Schizosaccharomyces pombe: one gene and its partners. Changing the gene in region 1 together with any one later gene gives a genetic interaction. Each region holds a gene or a part of one and is shown in the gene's direction. Other genes may lie near its edges.

Evidence for each region.
Region 2: mutations in trm10 (region 1) and hus1 together harm fitness more than expected from each alone (negative genetic interaction), as found in Schizosaccharomyces pombe (2 studies listed by BioGRID).
Region 3: mutations in trm10 (region 1) and rad1 together harm fitness more than expected from each alone (negative genetic interaction), as found in Schizosaccharomyces pombe (2 studies listed by BioGRID).

The regions. Positions count from the first base shown.
Region 1 is NC_003424.3:2,425,894-2,429,625, forward strand, and holds trm10 (tRNA m(1)G methyltransferase Trm10), read left to right. Parts: upstream 1-2,041; 5' UTR 2,042-2,126; coding exon 2,127-3,041; 3' UTR 3,042-3,197; downstream 3,198-3,732. Other genes in the region: epr1 (ATPase co-chaperone protein), read left to right, coding at 298-386, 521-1,574; ribosome assembly protein Rsa3, read right to left, coding at 1,640-1,882; DNA primase catalytic subunit Spp1, read right to left, coding at 3,276-3,732. UniProt on the Schizosaccharomyces pombe protein: S-adenosyl-L-methionine-dependent guanine N(1)-methyltransferase that catalyzes the formation of N(1)-methylguanine at position 9 (m1G9) in cytoplasmic tRNA.
Region 2 is NC_003424.3:4,820,407-4,824,775, reverse strand, and holds hus1 (checkpoint clamp complex protein Hus1), read left to right. Parts: upstream 1-2,072; 5' UTR 2,073-2,197; coding exon 2,198-2,240; exon of another isoform or gene 2,241-2,288; coding exon 2,289-2,397; exon of another isoform or gene 2,398-2,462; coding exon 2,463-2,475; exon of another isoform or gene 2,476-2,529; coding exon 2,530-3,124; exon of another isoform or gene 3,125-3,181; coding exon 3,182-3,285; 3' UTR 3,286-3,789; downstream 3,790-4,369. Other genes in the region: fmp40 (adenylyltransferase), read left to right, coding at 127-1,833. UniProt on the Schizosaccharomyces pombe protein: Essential in controlling the S-M checkpoint that couples mitosis to the completion of DNA replication. It is also required for the response to DNA damage.
Region 3 is NC_003424.3:4,976,632-4,980,809, forward strand, and holds rad1 (checkpoint clamp complex protein Rad1), read left to right. Parts: upstream 1-1,946; 5' UTR 1,947-1,987; coding exon 1,988-2,123; exon of another isoform or gene 2,124-2,249; coding exon 2,250-2,490; exon of another isoform or gene 2,491-2,533; coding exon 2,534-3,128; 3' UTR 3,129-3,507; downstream 3,508-4,178. Other genes in the region: SPOM_SPAC1952.06C (uncharacterized protein), read right to left, coding at 1-809; SPOM_SPAC1952.08C (pyridoxamine 5'-phosphate oxidase), read right to left, coding at 3,508-3,855, 3,931-4,155. UniProt on the Schizosaccharomyces pombe protein: Recombinational reparation of DNA damages induced by UV and gamma radiation.

The DNA.
Region 1 (3,732 bases):
CTACATTTTTTGAAACACAGTTGGGAGCTATTGTCGCCGGTTTGTGAGAAAGATCACCATTTTACATAGAACGTACTGAAGGTATTGTATTTTGGCGATTGAACGGGCAACTCTCAATTTTTTTGCTTTTTTTGTATTTCAATTGTAGAATTGAATTGTTAGTTTATCACAAGCAATCTCAATTGCGGTTGATAATTCATTCCACTCCTCGGCCTTGGAATTTTGTCTTTGAAGCTACTTTATATAAGTCTTTTACTGGTTAACTTATGATTTTATGCAAATTATTTATCACCAATCATGAATAACCCTTTTAAGGATATGGATTGCTATGAAATCTTGCAAGTGAATCATGACTCTGACTTGCAAGAGATTAAAGCAAATTACCGGTATGAAAACTTGTTTTCAACTTAATCAATCAACATAGAATATAAATTTACAGCTTTTCGATCTGTGATTAAAACATAATCGTTTAAGTTGTGAAGAATTGATCGCCTTTGTGTATCTTTACTAATCATAACAGAAAATTAGCTTTGCAATATCATCCCGATAGAAATCCGGGCATTGAAGACTATAACGAAATATTTTCCCAAATAAACGCTGCATACAATATTCTCTCTAATGATGATAAACGAAAATGGCATGAAAAAGACTATCTAAGAAACCAATATTCTGTACAAATTGAAGACGTTTTGCAGCATCTACAAACAATTGAGAAAATCCCTTTTGAAAGCACCTCAGCGTTCGTTGAAAGACTGCGACAAGACGAAAAAATAGCGGGTTCCACAGACGACCTTCCAACTTTAGGGGACACAACTTGGCTTTGGACGTATGCCAAACCTATTTATCAAAAATGGCTAAGATTTTCAACGAAAAAATCTTTTGAATGGGAAGCTCTATATAATGAAGAAGAGGAAAGTGATGCAGCTACACGGCGATTAATGAAGAGACAAAATCAAAGGCAGATACAATACTGCATTCAGCGATATAACGAACTTGTCAGAGATTTAATAGGAAAAGCATGTGATCTTGATCCACGGAGAAAAAACGTTGTGAAACTAAGCGATGGAGAAAGATACAACTCCCTACAAGAAGCATCGCGAAAGCAAAGTGAACGTGATCGGCGTCAGTACCAGGAAACTTTTAAAAACCAATCAATTGCGTCTTGGACAATAATCGATCAGGAAGAAACATCCAGCGATGATGAATCTTTGAGCAAAGAAATTGTGAATTCAAATCCAATAATGTGTATGGTTTGTAACAAGAACTTTCGATCACAAAATCAATTGGAGAACCATGAAAACAGCAAAAAACATAAAAAAAATTTAAGGAAAATGAACCAAGAAATAAAAAAGCACGCAAAAGAAGCCCAGAAAAACGCGGAATCGAATAAACAACCCGAAGATGCTCCTAGCGAATCCCCATATTCGAACAAAGTTTCTTCCTCTGACTTCTATACGAGAAGTTTTGAGGAAATAGAAAAAACATTTACTTTTGTCGAAATCTCTGATAACGAGTTTTATACAGCATCCGAAGATGGTTTTTTGAACGAAGACGATAAGTTGGATCAAGATTAGCACCGCAAGCTTATCTTTTTTAATAGAATAATACAGGTCTGTTTTTTGCTAAGTTATATAAACCATTATTCATAAATTTTGTGACCAGCACGCAAACTTTCAATAAGCAATTGTAGTTTGTTATGATCAAAAATTTCCTTTTGCCTTAAATTGTCTAGCTCTTCTCCAAACTCTGAAGTAAGTTGTTCCATATATTCAGATAGTGATGGCTTTTCTGTTTCTTTTTTTGAAAATGTCTGAAACATAGGATTTTCAAGCATATTTGATACCGTCGATTTGTTATCGATTTTTTGATCGTTTGTTGCCATTTTTCAAAGCTTGTTTTGTCGAAGTTTGTAAATAATACAATTTTGCAAAATTTTTTTATTTTCGACTTCCTGAATCCCTTTATTACCCAAAGTTAATAATTGCGAGATTGGCGTAGTTACCAACTTTTTATACTTCACAACACTCTTACTTTTTCCATTAGATGAACAGCCTGGCTAGGTTCAAAATAACGATATAACTAGATAAATTTAGGCTATATTTTGACTGCAATAAAGTTGGGAAATTATGGAAAACAAAGACGCTTTAGATATTGGTAAAGATGACACAAATACTTCTGAAGCTGACGTTTCTAAAAATGAAACTCAAGAGCAACCCGTTCTTAGCAAATCTGCATTAAAAAGATTAAAAAGACAGCAAGAGTGGGATGCAGGTCGTGAAAAGCGAGCAGAGATGCGCCGGGAAAAAAAGCGATTACGAAAAGAGGAAAGAAAGCGAAAAATTGAAGCTGGCGAAGTAGTTAAAAGTCAAAAGAAGAGGATCAGACTAGGAAAGGTCGTTCCTAGTAGTATCCGAATTGTTTTGGATTGTGCATTTGATGATCTGATGAACGATAAAGAAATCAACTCTTTATGTCAACAGGTTACTAGATGTCATTCTGCAAATCGTACAGCTTTACATCCTGTAGAACTTTTTGCTACCAACTTTGGTGGACGTTTGAAAACCAGACAAGATTTTGTGCTAAAGGGGCAACAAAATAATTGGAAACGATACAACCCAACTACTAAGTCTTATTTAGAGGAATTTGAATCCCAAAAAGAAAAATTAGTATATCTTTCTGCTGATTCAGATAACACCATCACCGAACTCGATGAAGACAAGATTTATATTATTGGTGCGATTGTCGACAAGAATCGGTACAAAAATTTATGTCAAAATAAAGCGTCTGAGCAAGGGATCAAAACTGCAAAGCTTCCAATTGATGAATACATTAAAATTACGGATAGGAAAATACTTACGGTTAATCAGGTCTTTGAAATATTATCTCTTTGGTTAGAGTACAGAGATTGGGAAAAGGCATTCATGGAGGTCATTCCAAAAAGAAAGGGAATTTTGCTTAAAAGCGACGAATCGTTTGATGTTTCTGAGGATACTAGGTCTCAGTCAAATCAATCTGATAGTGAATTGGAAAAAGAAAATTAAATCGCTAGTTTAAAATCATACTAGTTATGCTTTTGATTTGTTTTGGTTTTTATTATTATAATGTATTTAGCAAAAAAGGATAAATAAAGAGGTATTAAAAAATATATTATTACTGTCGATTTAACGGAAAACAATATGCTCCACGTAAATAGAAGTCAGAGCTTCCATCCTTTCATGAGTAAATGTATGCCCAAATTTTTAGTTAAAGCTTGAATCGATTGTTGAAATACGATTTTAAAATTCCAAATTCTCATGTTTTCTTTTATTTCCTACTGTTTCTTTAAAAAGCTGGCTACTGAACGATTTAAAGTACAGCGTATAAGGATTGAGAGAAGTTGAAAAGCCATGCCCCTTGTTTGATTGTCCCCTAGCATTATCTTTTTGGTTTTCTGTTGTATTAGTTTCCATTGTTGGACCATGGCCGTTATCATTTTGGGAATTTTTATCCAACTCTTGCAAAAGATCATTCACAGTGGGTACTTTCAAAGGATTAAAAGAATCCATCCTCTCTATATCTATGGGAACACAAACACGACTAGTTCCGGGGTGGACGCAAAATGGAGATTTTAGCAAATGGTTTAAATGTCTAGAAACCTCAACATCCAATCTTGGATACAAATAGGTTAAAACAATGTCCTGCTTGGCAATCGCAATTACTGAAGGAGATATAGAGGCAATAGAACCAGATGCT
Region 2 (4,369 bases), 2.4 Mb from region 1:
GTTATTGATCAAATGTAAGTGAATTGCTGCTTTTATTGTTATTATAATCAATAAAGTAAGCAAATTTACACTGGGGCACAATCAAACATTGGTATGCAAAGAACATTAATTCGATATACCAATACGATGTCAAAAAAATTGAAGGATCTCCCTGTCAGCTCAACGTTCACATCAAATCTTCCGCCTGATCCACTGGTACCGACCGTACAGGCAATGAAAAAGGCTGATGACAGAATCTTACATGTTCCTCGATTTGTGGAAGGCGGCGGCTTATTTACTTATTTGACTCCATCACTAAAAGCCAATTCTCAATTATTAGCTTATAGCCCTTCGTCCGTGAAGTCATTAGGACTCGAAGAATCTGAAACTCAAACTGAAGCTTTTCAACAGCTTGTTGTCGGTTCTAACGTTGATGTCAATAAGTGTTGTCCTTGGGCGCAATGTTATGGAGGATACCAATTTGGGGATTGGGCAGGTCAGTTGGGTGATGGCCGCGTAGTATCCTTATGCGAACTTACCAACCCGGAAACTGGAAAACGCTTTGAGATTCAAGTCAAAGGCGCAGGAAGAACACCATACTCTCGATTTGCAGATGGAAAGGCTGTTTTAAGATCTAGCATTCGAGAATATTTATGTTGTGAAGCTTTATATGCTCTAGGCATTCCAACAACACAGGCTCTGGCAATTTCCAATCTTGAAGGTGTTGTAGCACAACGTGAGACTGTAGAGCCTTGCGCCGTTGTTTGCCGTATGGCCCCTTCTTGGATCAGAATTGGGACTTTCGATCTCCAGGGGATTAATAATCAAATTGAGTCTTTACGGAAATTAGCCGACTATTGTCTAAATTTCGTTTTAAAAGATGGATTTCATGGTGGAGATACTGGAAATCGCTACGAAAAACTTCTTCGAGATGTTGCATATCGAAATGCTAAAACTGTAGCCAAATGGCAAGCATATGGATTTATGAATGGTGTTTTGAATACTGATAATACCAGTATACTGGGACTATCAATTGATTATGGACCTTTTGGATTTTTAGATGTTTACAACCCATCTTTTACACCTAATCATGACGATGTATTTTTGCGATATTCATATCGCAACCAACCTGATATTATTATTTGGAATTTATCAAAATTAGCATCTGCTTTGGTTGAGTTAATTGGAGCTTGCGACAAAGTTGATGACTTGCAATATATGGAACAACTTCATAACTCTACTGATTTGTTAAAAAAGGCGTTTGCTTATACTTCTGAAGTTTTTGAAAAGATAGTAGAAGAGTATAAAAATATTGTCCAGAATGATTTCTATGATCTTATGTTCAAACGAGTGGGTCTTCCCTCTGACTCATCTAACAAAATTCTGATAACTGATTTGTTACAAATTTTGGAGGATTATGAATTGGATATGCCAAATTGTTTTTCCTTTCTTTCTAGAAACTCTCCCTCTTCAATGGAGAATGAAGAATATGCTGCAAAATTGATGCAAGCATGTATTTGTCTAAACCCGAATAATGAAAGAGTTAGAAATGAATCTGTCAAAGCTTTCACTAATTGGGTTGGTCGATATAGTGAAGCAACGAAAACTCAGGAAGATTCATCCCGATTAGCGAGCATGAAAAAAGTCAACCCACATTTTACTCTTAGAAATTGGGTTCTTGAAGAGGTGATTAAAGAAGCATACATCGGGAAATTTGAGCTTTTTAAAAAAGTGTGTAAAATGGCTGCCTGTCCGTTCGAAGATACTTGGGGGTTTTCCAAGGAAGAAGAGGATTATTTATGCTATAACACTACTCCCTCCAAAAGCCAAATTCAATGTTCCTGCTCTAGCTAGAACCCTTCTTACTTGCCATTTATTTTTTTAATGTAATTTAAAATTTAGGAATAGCTAATCGTATGAAATAAATGATACAACGAATAGGCTCTTGAGTATAATTTTTTTTAGACTCTAAGACTTTTGTAAATCTTTTTAAATTTTATTCATTAATTTTATTCCACTTGCCATTAAAATTTGCATTTGCTTAATAAAGATTGCGATGCAGTTGCTAATGCCCAGTTTGCTATTTCTTAGCTGGCTTTTACGCGTTCGTAGTTTTTTCGACCGAAAATTTATTATTGGTCGACTTTAACCTGCTAAACGCTTGAATAAACAAAATGCCAAAAAATCTCAATCTCATTAGTTAAATCAAAGACTGAAAATGAGATTTAAAACAAGGATTAGCAACTTGTACACGTTGACGCGTAAGTTGGAAAAGATCAGCAGAAAGTTCGTTTACTAATCAAATTTAGGTCTTGTTCAGGCGCTAGATAAAATTGGAAGATTTTGCTGGCTTCGTCTGATGCCTGAAACTGTAAATTTTGTGATAGTGCCAGATTTTAGGATGACTCAAGTTTGGTCGTAAGTGAAGATATTAAGCATTTAACGGTGAAAAAAATCACATTGTGAAACTAATAAAGAAACAGAGTTTTAGAAGTCGTATGATTAACTATCTTTTTCTATTTGATTGCCCTAACTAACGTAAACGGAAAGGAAACAATATTTGAGGACTATGTCGTCCAAAGCAATGCAGACAACGTGATAAATCTAGAAGTTCCTATAGATAATTTCTATAAAGCCTTACGATCAGCGGCCAACGCTAGTGATTCTACTGTTCGTCTATCCAAGAAGAATAACCAGCCATTACTTTCGTTGTCTACCACTTGGAGTGGAAGGGCGTTTGGTTCGAATATTGTGACTCATAATATACCTGTTCGAGTACTATCACAATCATACGTGTCAGTTATTAAGGAACCAACTGCTCCTGAACCAGACTGTCATATATTCCTTCCACAACTGAATTTTCTAAGACACGTCGTGGACAAATACAAGAGTCTTTCAGACCGTATTATAATGTCAGCCAACATGTCAGGCGAATTGCAGTTATCGGTAAACATACCTTCAGCTAGAGTAAGCACAAAATGGAAAGGATTAGAGAATCCAGAGTTAGATCCTAGTCAAGTCGAAGACATCAGTCGACATCCCTCTCAAACAAGGGCACCCGAAGAATTTGTTCACATGAGACTAGACAGCAAGGACTTAGTCAACATGTTAAAAATATCCAGTGTTGCAAAGCGTGTAATAGCGTGTATGTACTATGAGAGAATCCTTTTTATGACCACGAACTAACCTTTTTACATTACAGGTTTCTGTGAAGGACATGCGCTAGTACTTTATGTTTATATAACAGATCCAGAAGATGAACATACGGCTGTTTTAACATACTACATTAGTACCTATGTGGACTAAGGTTACTTCAATTTGTTTATGATTTGATTTAATTAACGAATAATTGTTATGAGTGACTAGCCACATTTTTAATGTACATTAAAATGAAAAGAGATTAATCAACATCTACCATGCTTATACTTATTTTCTCTCTCTTCCTTTATCGATCTTACCGTTCTTTTTTATTTATTTTATACAGTTGTTGTAATCTCGGCAACTCAGTGTTTTACTATTCCGTTGATATCTCTTAAAAGGATAACACCAAAAAGAAATATAATGTTCAAGTCACAGAAAATCTGTTGATAAAATCCATATGTTTTCACGTTTTCAATGAGAGATACATACGATTAAACACAAACGTATGTTTTCAAGCAATTAACTTGAATATGAATAAACCTTGGTTCATCTTTCTTTAATCTTTTAGACAAGCAACTGTTCAGAAATCTATAAAGTCTCAATTGAACATTTAAGTGCTCAATGGGAAATATATACTTAATAAAAATTGAATATTTTAATCGTTTTTTTGAGAAGATATATGCCATTGACTGTAGCTTCTATTAATTTCCGCCTATTCTTTCTTGTACTTTGGAGGCATCGCTATACATTTTACGTAGAAGTGATGAAAATGGCGAGTTCCTCTTTAAAAGTGCGAAAATTTCAGGCTGTCTGTCATCGGAATTGACTATGTTCGATAGTTATTCCTCCTCCGATGCAGTCGGCTACACATGTAAACTGTACCAACATTCAGTACGAAAGGGGCTGAACGTTGTTACCTAGAAAAGTTGGTATCGCAATAGAGGTAACGATAGTGAAAATCCCACAATAACTTAAATATGGAGAGGTATCCGGGGAAATCCGCTACATAAACAACACATATACAGACATATAAATTGACTTAAACGTACCTTCTTTCTATAATAGTTTTACCGTTCCTTAATTGCAAATTCTTTCTTGTTTTCATAGATAGCATTGTTACTATTATTGTTATATATTCAATATAGACTGATAATTAGGATTGTACATTTCGTTTCATTTAGAGAAAAAAAAAAGGAATAATTTTCATGTTTTAAATTACTCATCTTATTCAATTCTTCTTTCTCTTTTC
Region 3 (4,178 bases), 2.6 Mb from region 1:
GCTAAAATTTCAACAGCGTACTGCAAATTAGTTGATATAGAAGTTTCATCAACAGACGATCTACTCAGTAACCATTCTACCAATGTTGTGTTTTCAACTATTATTGAACAAATGCTATTGTCCACAGATAATAAATTCTCCATAAGAGAGAGCACACAATATACTCCATGTCGGTCTTCCTCATTAGATTCGTCAAACCTTTTGATTGTATTTGAAAGCAAAGGAAGCAAACCAGAATCTATAAGGGAAGTAAATAAGGAGTTTAATGCGTCTGGGTCAACATCCTCGTCAGTCAGTTCTATCAATAGCTCCAATACCGTAATAGTAATATCCGCATTTTCATGGTTCATTAATTCTAAAAACGTGGAAACACAATCTAATTTAAGGAAAATGGGTATGAGGATAGGATACTCTGAAAGCACATTGAAGCTTCGAATTTCCAGATCAAGATCTGCCTCTGATTCTATAAACCTTTGAGGAGAAGTAGAATACTTGATGCGTAACTCCTGATTATTATTAATTGTTTTTTCAAGTCGTACTACCATGCGCTTCAATTCAGTAGGAGTCAATGAAGCAGGTTCTTCCTGGGCTTCCTGTTCGTCTAAAAAGTCTAAAACGGTTTTTTCACTCTTTTTAAGCCCACTTCCAAAAAATCTACCTCCTTCCTCGTCAAATTCTTCATTCTCCTCATCGCTATTCTCTTCAGCGAGTCTTCTGCGACTACTAGCTGGCTCCAAAGAGTCTGCTTCCTCAGGGTTCCTTTTCTTATTTGTTTCCTCGGTATTTTTAAAAATTGAATCTACATCCATTTAGAATAATGTATTTTTTATGCGCCAGTTTCCTTTTCAAATTGAATATATGAAAACCGTCTGATACAAAATAAATAATTTTGACAAACTTATATTTTATAGCCGCATCAAGTAAAATAAAAGCCTTATGAAAAGACTATCGTGCAATTCAATTATAACGCCTGACTCGTTCCTAAAATTCCTCTCGTTTACCAGTTCAAGTAAAAGCTAGGTAAGATGTAGGCATGTACAAAGTGTATCAAAAGTGAAAACCAGAATCTAAGCTTGGAAAAAAATAATAACAGCAAGTAAATTCCCCTCTGTTTTATAAATATTATACAACTCTTATATCCAAGAAAGGAGAGATTGGAAGAAGGATAAAAAGTGTTTATTTAAGAGAAGAGAAGCTAAATAAAGTGCATGCAGTTAACTCGAAATTTTTTAGGTTGATTAAATAAGGAAGAAATTAGATCCATCTTGTATTACCTTTCTTTTAATTGTAGCAATGACTTTTCAAAAGAGGGTGTAAAAATGACATCCTAACTGTATATATGATAAAATTACAATTATGGATTTTCTAAAGCAATTTAAATTTAGCTATTATCACTAAAACAGTTCGGCAATTTGCAATATTTGTCTAATAAATGAACCATTTGTTTCATAAACAATCAAATTCATTAAGCTACAAATCCTTAATTGTATCTTTAGTTTTGAGTCAATCAACTTACTGGGATCCTATAGCTTTTTTGAATATCATTTGGTAAATTCAAATATGGCTCTTAAAACTTGTATTTAATTTGATAAAATTTCTGTGTCGAGAGATAAATAAATAAAGACAGTTAGAAGTAGATGCTATTCAATTAATAAATAAAATACTCGTCTATTAAGCTTTACGGCTTTCCAAAAATTTATATATCAGAATAAAATATTTCACAATTTTTTTTTTTTTAAAAAAGAAAAAGCAATCTCAATTTTCATTTCCTTTAGTAATCTGCATACCTTTTAAAATTGTGCACCTTTTCGAATTTTACTAAATAACTTCTAACTTGAACTGTCTTTCTTATTCTGCGTTTGGTCTTGTAATCAAGTGTCAAGTCCTTTAATATCAGAAGGAAAAATTATCAATTTATAAGATTAGCATTTACGGGTGTTCAAGTTGTAGCATATAACCAATTTTTTATTGTTGGACGTAAATTCGCATGTTTCAAGCAGAAACAGTATGCTTAAAGCAGATTCAGTCAACATTACGATGCATTGATTTTTCAAAGGAATGTACTATCGAAATCACAAGTCGTGGACTACGGTTTGCAGTGGAGGAATCGCAGTCTTTGCAGGGTAAGACAAGTCGAGTCTCACATCTATGATCGTTAAAAAATTTGAAGCTACTTAATAAAGTTTCATATATTAATGCGATTCTTGAAATGCATTCACTTTTTCTTTATTGTTCACTCACACATTAAGCTCACGCCTTTCTTGATAAGTCGTTGTTTCAAACGTTTAATTTTCAGGGTGATTCAGATGGGGATACATATATGTTCCAGACGATGATTTCACCTCTTTTACAATCATTATCAATTTATACAGATGGAAAAGAACGGATTTCAACTAGTGCCTGGGATCAACCCACTGTAAACATAATGCACAAACGAGGCGTTATCTGCAAAGTACAGTATAATGGACCCGGCTGTCCATTTATATGGGAGTAAGGATTTTATCATTAACATTCTGTACTGACAAAAATAAAGAGTAGAGGAAATGGCTGGTTATGCTACGGCTTGTGAACTGTTGACTATGGAATGTGAGGACGACGTTGACATCAATAGACTTGCAAGCACATTGTGCACGAAGATCATTATGAAAAGTAACTGGCTATATGATGCCTTGGTGGAATTAGACAATAACATGGGCGAAAATTTAATTATTCATACATCATCCCAAAAATCAACCTTCTTATTGAGATGTGTAGGGGCATTATCCACTACGGAAATAGAATATCCAAACGAGAAAAGTGTTTTAGAGTCTTTTGAAACTGATTCTGAAAACACTTATTCCTACCGCTTCTCATTAATAAGACATGCGCTGAAAGCATTACAAGTGGGTTCTAAAGTAAACCTACGTATTGATGAAAATGGAACTTTGAGCATTCAAATCATGCTTGTCGGTCAAGAAGGGCTTTGTACGTTTGTAGACTTTTGTATTGTTCCTTTGGACCTTGTAAGTGAAGATGAGGAGGAGGATGAAGAAGAAGAACCAGCAGAATCTAATCAGTCGGACAATAACGTTTTACGAAACGATCCGAATTATCGAGGAGATGCGGAGACCGAGGATGAGGATAGCTAAATGATAATTTTAGCACTCAGCACTTTAGTGTTTCCGATAACTTCAAAAAAAGAAAAAGGTACAATTGATACTGAACAACTTATGATAATACACTTATTCAACGAATCATGATTTATTTCCCTGCTTTTTGTTTGGTCTTATTTAGGTAGCTTAAAGTCACACCGTTTCCTCACTTTTTCTATGCTTATTTAACACACGTATAAACAAGACGCTTTCCACTAGGCTGTCTAGCAAAGCATGTAGCCAACAAAATTCCCATGTATCATACACACGATTATACATTATGGTTAGATCTACGAAGCATTCAAAAATTCTTCAAACATTATTGATTTTTAAAAAATAGAAAATGCAAAGTGACACTCATAAAACATTTGTTTACTCAAAATGGAGTCTCATCTCCTCTTGCATTCCATTTTTGGACGTTGTTGAGTCTCTGATCACAAATTCTCGCACTTTCCAACTTTATCTTGATAATTCTCATATCCTCACCCTCCACGTATTGTTTCGTATTACCCTTGTCATTAGTGTTTAAATGCTTTTCTCTAAAGAATTCCTCTTCTTTGCTATTCTTTGGAAGAACGGTAGCAAGGCCATTCAAGGTCACTGATGTATTCGAGAACTGAGCCTGATTCATTTTATAAAGTAAGGTGTACAATGAGGAGGCATCAGGATCTGTTTCTTGACGATTAGTGGTCCAGTCATGAACTAGTAATGATACTCGAGGATTCTAGTCATCATGTTAGAAAAAAGAAAATACCAATCAGGATCAAGGATAAGTTAAACTTTTAAATATGATACATACCGAACTGATGTTAAAATATTTTTTACTGTTTTCTCCTGTTGACAAAATAATGCAATCCTCCACTTCGTAAGGGGCAGCGCTTCCTGCAGGTAAATAGGTAAATGTCATCAAAGAAGAGTGAGGCTGATCATGAAAGCAAGTAGCTAGTTGAATATATTTGGATGAGGACAAGCATCTCTTGATTTGGCTGGGGAACTCATGAGATGAATCGACTTTTGAGGCCATATTTACTTTCAGGTTATTGTGGT